Linked DNA regions of Oryctolagus cuniculus. The protein of the gene in region 1 purifies or fractionates together with the protein of each later gene. This does not show direct contact. Links are inferred from orthologs where the notes say so. Each region holds a gene or a part of one and is shown in the gene's direction. Other genes may lie near its edges.

Evidence for each region.
Region 2: the proteins of CDC42BPB (region 1) and FAM167A purify together in Homo sapiens (co-immunoprecipitation; 3 studies listed by BioGRID and IntAct, counting the BioPlex papers as one, with this or other methods). This does not show direct contact. The link is inferred for Oryctolagus cuniculus from reciprocal best matches to the Homo sapiens genes CDC42BPB and FAM167A.

Annotation. Positions count from the first base shown.
Region 1 is NC_091451.1:46,105,573-46,109,956, reverse strand, and holds the start of CDC42BPB (serine/threonine-protein kinase MRCK beta), read left to right. Parts: upstream 1-1,346; 5' UTR 1,347-1,728; coding exon 1,729-1,903; intron 1,904-4,384. UniProt on the Homo sapiens protein: Serine/threonine-protein kinase which is an important downstream effector of CDC42 and plays a role in the regulation of cytoskeleton reorganization and cell migration. Regulates actin cytoskeletal reorganization via phosphorylation of PPP1R12C and MYL9/MLC2.
Region 2 is NC_091433.1:43,032,170-43,036,663, forward strand, and holds the start of FAM167A (protein FAM167A), read left to right. Parts: upstream 1-1,656; 5' UTR 1,657-2,057; intron 2,058-3,403; exon of another isoform or gene 3,404-4,494.

The DNA of each region.
Region 1 (4,384 bases):
AGTTGTCTCAAACTCAGTGGAATGCAGAGGTAGGTCCAGTTATTCTCTTTACTACGCCCGCACTCGTTGAGGGACAGGAAGATGTGTGGTTCCAGACTACGGGCAGGTCTCACAGGCACCCACGGTGCCAGGTGCTGGGCGGGACAGGGGGGCCTGGTCTTGCCCAGGACGCCGGCCAAGGCTGCGCTGCAGGAGCAGCACGGCCAGCAGCGGCAGGGCCGGCGGATCGAAGGTCCAGCGAGAGGACAGTGAGACTGAAAAGGGGGTGTGGCTGGGCAGGCGGCAGAACACGCTGTCCACAGGGACACTCGTGGGAGCAGAGGTCACTACCCGGGGACAAAGGTGAAAACCGGGGGGTTGGGGGCCTGGCCAGACTCCGAGTCTGCTCACCCTCCCCAGGGGCCACGGCAGAGTCTGGGCTCTATCCTAAAGCGCGAGTTTCGACTAGGGATTATTATTTTAATTGAGACTTGATACACACACGGTACAGCGAACAAATATTTAGGGTACAGTGCGTGACCTGTGTACGAACAGCTCCACCTAACTGGACGGGCCAGACCTAGCCGGGGCACGCTGCGAGCCCCTCCAGCCTCGCGCCCCCAAAGGTGGCCGAGCCCGAACGTTTCAGATGCCGGGGACTCGCACTGCCGGCAGCGTACGGCTTGAGAGCGGTGCACTTACGCCCCTGGGTACCCCGCACCCAGACCGAGCTCCAGGACCTGGCCTGCAGCCCGCACTGCCCTGGGACCCCCTCCGGAGGCGGCCGTCCTCCGACTCCCATCTCCAGGGCCGGCTCTGCCCCCGGCCGCCCGCCCCCCGCCGCGACCTCCCACTCCCAAAACGCCCGGAGCCCTAGTCTCCCGACGCCAAAGGTCTGCGGCGGTGCGGCTGGGGTCTCCGCCAGCCGCCTTCCCTGGCCACCCGGACACACCCGCAACCTCAGCGAGCGCGGGGCCTCGGCCCGCCTCCCGCCAGCTCTGCGGGCAGGGCAGGCTGCGCGGTGGGCAGGGGCATCCCGCGCTCCCGACGCGCGGGCGGCACGCCCCGGCCGGGCCGGAGCCTCCCGAGGCCGCTCTCCCGGGCAGCGCGCGCGGCCAGCCCTCGTGCCCGCCGCGCCCAGCGCCGCCGCCCCGCAGGCCGGCCGCTCTGCGCACGCGCCGGCCGCAATCTCGGCGGCCCACCCGCCCCGCCGGCGTCCGGTCTGGCTACGGCGAGCGGCGAGGCCCGAGCCCGCAGCAGCCAGCCGCGAGCGCGGGGCGGGGCGGGGCGGCGCGCTGAGGTCAGCGCGGCGAGGGCCGGCCCCGCCGCGGTTGGCTGCGCCGCGCTGGCCGCGCCCTGGTTGGCTGCGGGCCGCGGGGCTGGGCCGCCGGGTCGGGGCTGGGGTCGGGCTCGGGCGCCGGCCGGGCTTGCGCAGCGCTCGGCTCCGCGTCGCCCGGCGTCGGCCGTGTGAGGGCGCGGCCGCCGGCGGGGCTGAGGCCCGGGCGGGCGGGAGGCGGTGGCCGAGGGGCGGAGGCCGGCCCATGGACCCGCGGGGCCCGGCGCCTCAGACTCTGCGCCGCGGGGACGGAGCCCAAGATGTCGGCCTAGGCCGGGGCGCGGCGACGCGGACGGGGCGGCGGCCGGGCGCTGAGGGGACTCGCGGCCGCCGGGCCCCCCGGGGCTCGCGCTGACGGGCTGGCCGAGCGGGCGGCGCGTGGCCGGTGCGGGGAGAGCGGGCGGCGCGGCACCATGTCGGCCAAGGTGCGGCTGAAGAAGCTGGAGCAGCTGCTCCTGGACGGGCCGTGGCGCAACGAGAGCGCCCTGAGCGTGGAGACGCTGCTCGACGTGCTCGTGTGCCTGTACACCGAGTGCAGCCACTCGGCCCTGCGGCGCGACAAGTACGTGGCCGAGTTCCTCGAGTGGGGTAAGTGCCGCGCCCGCGCGCGCCCCCGCATCCTGTCCCCGCGCGCCGCATCCCGGCTCCCATCCCCTCCCCCGCCCGGCCGTCGCCTGGCGGCTTCCGAGACCCACCCTCCGGGTCCGGATATCGTTTCCTGCAGCTCCCTGGGACATCCGCCCGCATCCTCGCCCCGCACTCGCCTCTGGGGTCCGCGGGCGGCGCGGAGCTATCTCCTGGGCGGGGGTCCGGCTCGACCGCCCCTTGCAGGTGACGTCCTGGCTGCGTCCCCTTGCTGTCCAGGGCCCTGGACGCCCGCTCTGCCGTAGCCCTTCTGAGAGCGTGTCAAGGCTGAAGGCTTTATTTCGGCTGCGCCATGCTCGAGCCGGTTGGTTTCCCCCTATTGTACTTGTGCCAGACCCCTGTGCCCTGGCGGTAGCCGGAAGTGTGGCTTCTGCTCCTCGCACGCGGAGGCACCTGTACGGCCGCGGTCGGCGCCAGGCTGACCCGGGATGCTGGTGGGCAGGTTGGTTAGGGCTTTACGGGGTAGTTAGAATCCCGAAGGCTGGTGGGAGTGTAAGGTGAGACCGGAGAGACCCAGGACGGAGGAGGAGGAAGCAGTGCCTCCGTTCCGGCCGAACCTCGGGAAGGCGTCTCGCTGGGCCACGTTTGGTGCTGGGTGCCGACCATGCAGCCAGCACCGCGAGTTCTCGTCTCTGGGCCCACGCAGCTGATATTTCTGCGAAGAGACAGTGAGTGGGGTCCGCACTGGGCCCCCTCTGCGCCGCGGTGCTCGAGCTGGAGTTGCTGTGGGCGCTTCGGTGTGGGATGGATGTGGTGGAGCAGCCCTGCTGTTTCAGGGCCACCGATCCAGGTTCCGGGGTTCCTTATCCACGCCCTGATGTCCAGCCGAACAGTGGACGGCTCTGGTTGCTTTGCGGGTGGGGCCTCTGGGACGCGGACGGCCGGGCCTCTCAGCGGTTGGGCTGGTGCAGAGGAAGGGCTGGGCTAGCTGGTGCGGTGTGCGGGACGCCGGGGCAGGGCGTCCAGGCGTGTGCCGGCAGTCCCTGTGCGAGGCTGCGCAGAGGCAGAGCTGTGTGCTGAGGGTCTGGCTCTCTGGAGATCCCGGTTACGAGTGACTTGCATGACTGCAGGGACTCTCCAGGTGGTGCTTTGCTGCCGTTAATACATCGCAGCGGCTGGGCGCCTGCACCCGCGTGGGAGACCAGAAGGACGCTCCTGGCTCGATGGAAGGAAGAACTTTCTCTCTGTTTCTACCTCTCACTGTCTGTAACTCTGCCTCTCAGATGAATAAATAAAATCTTAGAAAAAAATATTGTAGCAGCATGAAAATCTCGAGGCAGTGCATGCCGCCGCCGTGACTCACGGCATGGTTCGAGCCAGGGCCTTCGCTGGCCGTGTGCAGTAGCACGGCCTGGTGACTTCCGCTGGAGGATGAGGGCTGTTCTTCAGACCCGACTGTGGGGCGTGATCAGGCACCCAGCTTCCGGGGTGGGGGTCACGGGTGCTCGCAGGGCACCGGGTCTGTGTGCAGGGGAGCGAGGGACTGGCCGCCCTGGGGAGTGGGGAGCCGGCCGGCCTCTCTCCACCTCCCACGTCTGTGCCAGGTAGCCAGGGACAGTTACATAGGATTCTTGACATGTAAGAAGGGAAAGCAGTTGACTCCATTTAGATTTTGAGACTTCCTGGGAAGGCTTTGAGGGAATTTGGAAAGTGTAGGTTATCATGTTCTGAAGTTTCAAAGGGAGTTTGTTTCTGGCCCTTAAATTTCTAACTGACATCAGAGTCCTGCACACACTTGCGGTGCGGCATTGATGCACGTGCACAGCGTGACTTCCCGCTGCACCCGCGTGCCGGACAAAAGTCAGCTCAGCTCTCTGGACTTTTGTTTAATTTTCCTTTGATTGTGTTTATAATTTGATTGGCTTCCTCTGAAATCCTGGGCCTCAATTAAAAGTTGGAAATGCTCTGTTTTGCATGTGTATTTCTTTAAACAAATTTTTTTAAAATGTAAATTTGATGCCATTTGAAGCAGAGCGAATGAAACACTTTAAAATTTCCTCAAGTAAATACAACCAAATGTAAAAATACTTTTTTCATGTGTTCGGTGGTTTTTTTCACAGCTTAAATGCGACAGCTAGCGTCTCATTTGGACGGAGCTGATGCTTGCAGCCCCAGCCTGTTGGTGATGGACAGCCTGGGGCCCTCCGCTCTGGTCCCTGGAGAGACCGCGGGGCAGGAGCGAGGCAGACCTGCTGTCCGTCCCTGCCCAGGGCCTCGTCTCAGCAGGCGCTCCCTTTGCCTTTCTAGACTTTCTGTTAATTCCCTCTTGTCGTGCACGGGACAGAACCTTCTCCGATTCTCCTTCTTGGGTGTGAGTGTCCATAGCTGTGTGGGCGCCCAGCCCTCGGTGCCTACACTGATGGTGGTGAACGTCTCAGAGTACCTTTCAGGAGGCAGGAGTTTGGCCCCGCAGTTACGATGCCT
Region 2 (4,494 bases), on another chromosome or scaffold:
AGGGTTGTGTCCCACAAGGTCTGTGTCTTGGAAACTCCATCTCCAGTGTGAAGTGGGAGCTTCTGAGGTGAGGGTGTGGCCCTCTCAGAAGCGTATCAGTCAACGCAGGTGTGGGTTCCTGATTCAAATATCAGCTCAGCCCCCTGTCCCTCTTCACACATGTGTGCTCTCTTGCCTTTCCGCTTTCTGCCATGGGCTGATGCCGTGCAAAAGCCCTCACCAAATGCAAGCTCCTCAACCGTGGACTTGCCAGCCTCTAGGATTGACTCTCTGTGCTTTCTAAGTTACCTGGTCTCAGGGATTCTGTTCTGCACAAAGTGGACCAAGTTACCCCATATGAAAGCATCTACACTTTCAGAAACAGAAGCCAGGAAACAAGTTGGGTGCACGTGGGGGATGGTGGGCTGGACAGCTCCACCAAGAGGCCAGGTGTCAGGGCTAGGAATGCACATGCCGAGCCCAGCACTGTGGTCAGGGGCAGCCAGCACTAGGGAGGATGTGGAGTCCCCAAGGCTGTGTCCAGCCTCCTGCCCTCCCAGAGCCTGGCTTCCCAGAGGAGGACAGGACTACAACTGGGCCTTGAAGAGGAGTTGGTAAGGCCACGGGCACCTGGTACCCTGGGGCTCCCTGAGGAGGCAGGAGCTGGGGGCAGCCTGTGTACAGAGATTGGCAGAGTACCTGAGAAGCAGAGCATGTGTGTGAGGCAAGGTCCCAGAGGCAGACCGAGGCCAGGCTAAGTTTGATCATCGTAGAACTCTGAGAACCTTTCAGCAGGGAGAAGCCGGAATGGGAGCTCCATGTTATAGACTGCTCTGGGCGTGGAGGGATGATGATTGGTTTGGAGGGCACCCAGCGTGGATGTCCACAGGCTGTTGCCTCCTCTGGCTGGGGTGGTGGTAGGGAGACGGGAAGAAGTGGAAAGCATTAGAGCCATGTTTAGGAGCCAGAATCACGAGATCCAGGTCAATGCTGAGTCTCCAGGCGACCCCCGTTAAAATGCACCTGCTGGCTTACAATGATTAACTTGTGCGCTTGCAGGGGCTGCTGCTTGGGCAGGGAGTCTCCTTACACAAAGTCCCCTACAGGACTTCTAAATGGGAGGGGCTAAGGCCCCACAGAAGCAAGGCCAGCACTCGGGTTCTAGATGTGTGTGCGCGGGTAAGGCCCGGCCTTCGCCCCCCGTGTGGCTGAGAACAGCAGGTGGAATAACTGAAAGAGCCTTCCAACCCCAGCCGCCTATCACAGGTGCTTGGCTGGTGACGGAAGCCGGCTTCCCATACAGAGCCCTCGGGCAGGGAGGTGGCGGAGCGTGTGCGTGGGCCAGCGCCCCTGTCTGCAGCCGGACTCGGTTCCCGAGACCGGCCGGCACGGGCAGCCCTGGCTGCTGTGCGAGTTTCGGACGCAGTAGGGTCTGGGTCTCCTGTGGCCGCGGGCGCAGCGCGAGAGGCGAGCCCTCCCGGGGCGACGGCCAGCCCCGCGCCCGGCTTCTCCTTGACGCGCCCGGCAGCTGCTTTCCCGTCTGTGGGGCTGCGAGGGCGGCAGCCGGCAGGCGCCTGGGCAGGGCCACGGGCCAGCAAGCCCCGGTGGTGGAGGGCAGGCTCCAGGCGTGGGGTTCCCGGCCCCGCCACGCAGGCAAATTGCTGACAAGGGCAAAGCCACGTGCCAGACTTGCGGGGAAACTGCCTGAGCTTCGGGTTTAATGAGGAAAATGGGATGTTTGGGTTTGGTTTCGTCTGGGATTTGGCGGATGCACCCGGCCCGCCTCCCATCGCGGGTTGGGCCCCCGGCGGCGGCGCAGGCGAAGTCGGGGGGCTTTAGGACCCGGCGCTGAGCGCTCGGACCCCGGCGGCCGTCCCGGGAGAGGCCCGCGCGGGCCGAGGCTTGAATGGGAGGCCGGCGACGTCGCCGCTGAAAGGCCGGCGGCGGAATAGCTCTGCCGTCGCCAGGCAACCGCCCTGACGCAACGCGGAAAAAAGGTCCCCTAGCAAAAGAATAGTGCGGAGAATTGAGAGGCGCGCGGGAGCCGGGCGCGGCGGGGACGGCGGCCGCACCAGGAGGTGGGTGCGCACCGGTCAGGCGCGGAGACCTCGCGGGGGCCGGGGCGGGGATGGCGCGGGCTGGGCGGCTCCCCGCGGGGCTGGCGGCGGCGGGAGCCGCCCGATCCTGTCGCCGTCCCCAAGGGGACGCTGCCCGCGGCGGGGCTGGGGTCCCGCCTCGCCCCCTGCCCAAATCGCGGGGCAGCCACGGCCGGGCTCCATCTTCCGTCTCCTCGCCGGCCTCTCCCAGGGCCAGGATTCCGGGTGGAGACTTGGCGCGCGGGCGGGGGGTGGAGGGAGGGTCTGTGGTCTGAGAGAGAGGGACTCCCAACTCTGAATCCCTGAAAATCTACCTACCCCCAGACCACGCGTGACCGCAGCCCACCCCGTCTGCCCTGTCTACTTGCCGGCCCCAGGGAGGCGGCCGCTGAACTCGGGAGAAGTGACCCGGGGCACATGGGCCCAAGGGTGCTGTAGGCATGAAGCCGGGGTGGTCTCAGGGTGCTTACAGCCAGAGGGGCCTCTGGGAGTGAGAGGATCCATCCTGAAACTGAGAACAACCCTTGAACCAGGGCGAGGGGCACCGAATCACGCAGCGGTGTAGGATGGTGGTGGATGTGTGGGAACCCCTGCTCGCAGCTGGTTTTTATTCCCCATGGTACTTGGAGGCAGCTCTGGGCGCGGCGGCTAGGAGAAGACCTGGAAGGTGGGTGAGCTATGGTCGCTATCCCGTCCCCACAGGCAGTTTCTCCTCAGTCAAGTTTCCCCAAAGTCTGGGCGGTTCCTGGAGAGTCCCAGACGATGAGGCCAGGTCCTCGGGCGCAGGGACCAGAGTGCCCACGGCGGTGAAATTGCAGAACAGCTTCCCTTTGCCACACAGGAGGGAGAGTGGAGCATGTTGGCCAGGAACTGGGAAAGCGGAGGCGGCCGTGGCGCCAGTGCCCTGACAGCCCTGTCTGTAGGACAAGGGGCTTCTGCCAGCGCGTTTGGGGGGCGGGGGGGGGCTTGGCCGAGCGGCGCCTGCCGTCCTTACAGTGGACACAGATGACAGCTCCCCTGTCCCCACCGTGCCCTGCTGAGCGCCTTGGCATCTACAGGGTGCTCTGTCCTCACACCGCCCTGCGAGGCGGGGACTGAATTATCTGCCTGTTGCCAATGGGATTCCCAGGGGCTAAGTAACTTGGTGGTACTCACACTGCTGGCGAAAGAGCAGATTCAGGGTCAAGTGCTCGACTCCTGAGACTCCTAAGACAGTGCTCTCAGGAGTAGAACAGGGGAAGGCTGCTCCAGGGAACGCAAGCGGAGTGAGGTCCAGGGAGGGGGAAGACAGCAGTCCCCAGGTGGCAGCGAGCCAGGGGGTGGGCTCCTCGTAGCTGCCCGGCCATCCCCAGGGCCCTGTGCACCCAGAGACGCCATTCCTCGCACCAGGAGCCTCAACAGCTTTGCCGTGGGGCCTAGCCAGGCTCAAGCCTTCTCTTCCAGCAGACAGAGGAGCCACACCCCCTTCTCCTTGCAGACCCAGAGACCCCCTCCTCCTGTGCACTTGCTCCTGTCCTCCCAATTACCTGCATGGTTTCCTCTAAATTGCCCGCGCCTGCTTCCATGTCCACCGGCTTGGCCTCCCTCCAGGAGGGACTGAAATGCATTAAGGCAGTGCCTGTTTGCTGTGAGAGAGCCACAGCACCCCAGGCCGGTGAGCAAGAACCTACTTGTTAGGCTCCGCACACACACACTGCTGGCTGTGCCTCTAGGTAAAACTTGCTGGCAGAAAACCGCCGTGGCCCGACAGGAGTGTCTGGAATTCCCAGAGGCCTCTGGGAGCTGTGCCATCCTCCACAACGGCTCTGTGGGATGTTGGGTTGCTTGGATGGGTGGAAGATCAGTGATATTTTGAGCTGTTTGCGCCTCGATTTACAGCCCAGGGTCAGGGAGTCCTCACCTGCCACCAAATGGAAATCCCTTGGGATCAACTGGGCTGGTTCTTAATATGCAAATGCACTGTGGAACCCCACCTGGTTTCCCATGTGGGTGGCAGCGGCCCAAGCACTCGGGTTCTCTGCTGCTGCTTTCCCAGGTTCATTAGCAGGGTGCTATGCACCCCATTACTTCAGGATGGTTTCTCCAGTGTGGCTGGAAATTCCTTTCAGGGCTATCCTGGTCCACTTGTGGGACCTGGTGACCCTCCCTCATAGGCTTGTCCCTTGGGACCTGGAGGGGTGGGCCAGGTCAGAGCCTGTTGTCCATGTTGAAGGGCAGGCGTGTAATGAGCCAGGCGCTGGCCTCTGTGGTGGCCACAGCGTCAGGGCTTCTTGAAGGTTGGACTTGCACTTCCTCATTCCAAGAAATCAGTGGAGCTGGGAACAGGAACATCAGGGGGAGGGAACCCTCAGGGGTGATGACCCCAGGAAGCTTCCAGATGAGGATGCTTGGTAGGTGGTCACTTAGGGACCCAGTCCCC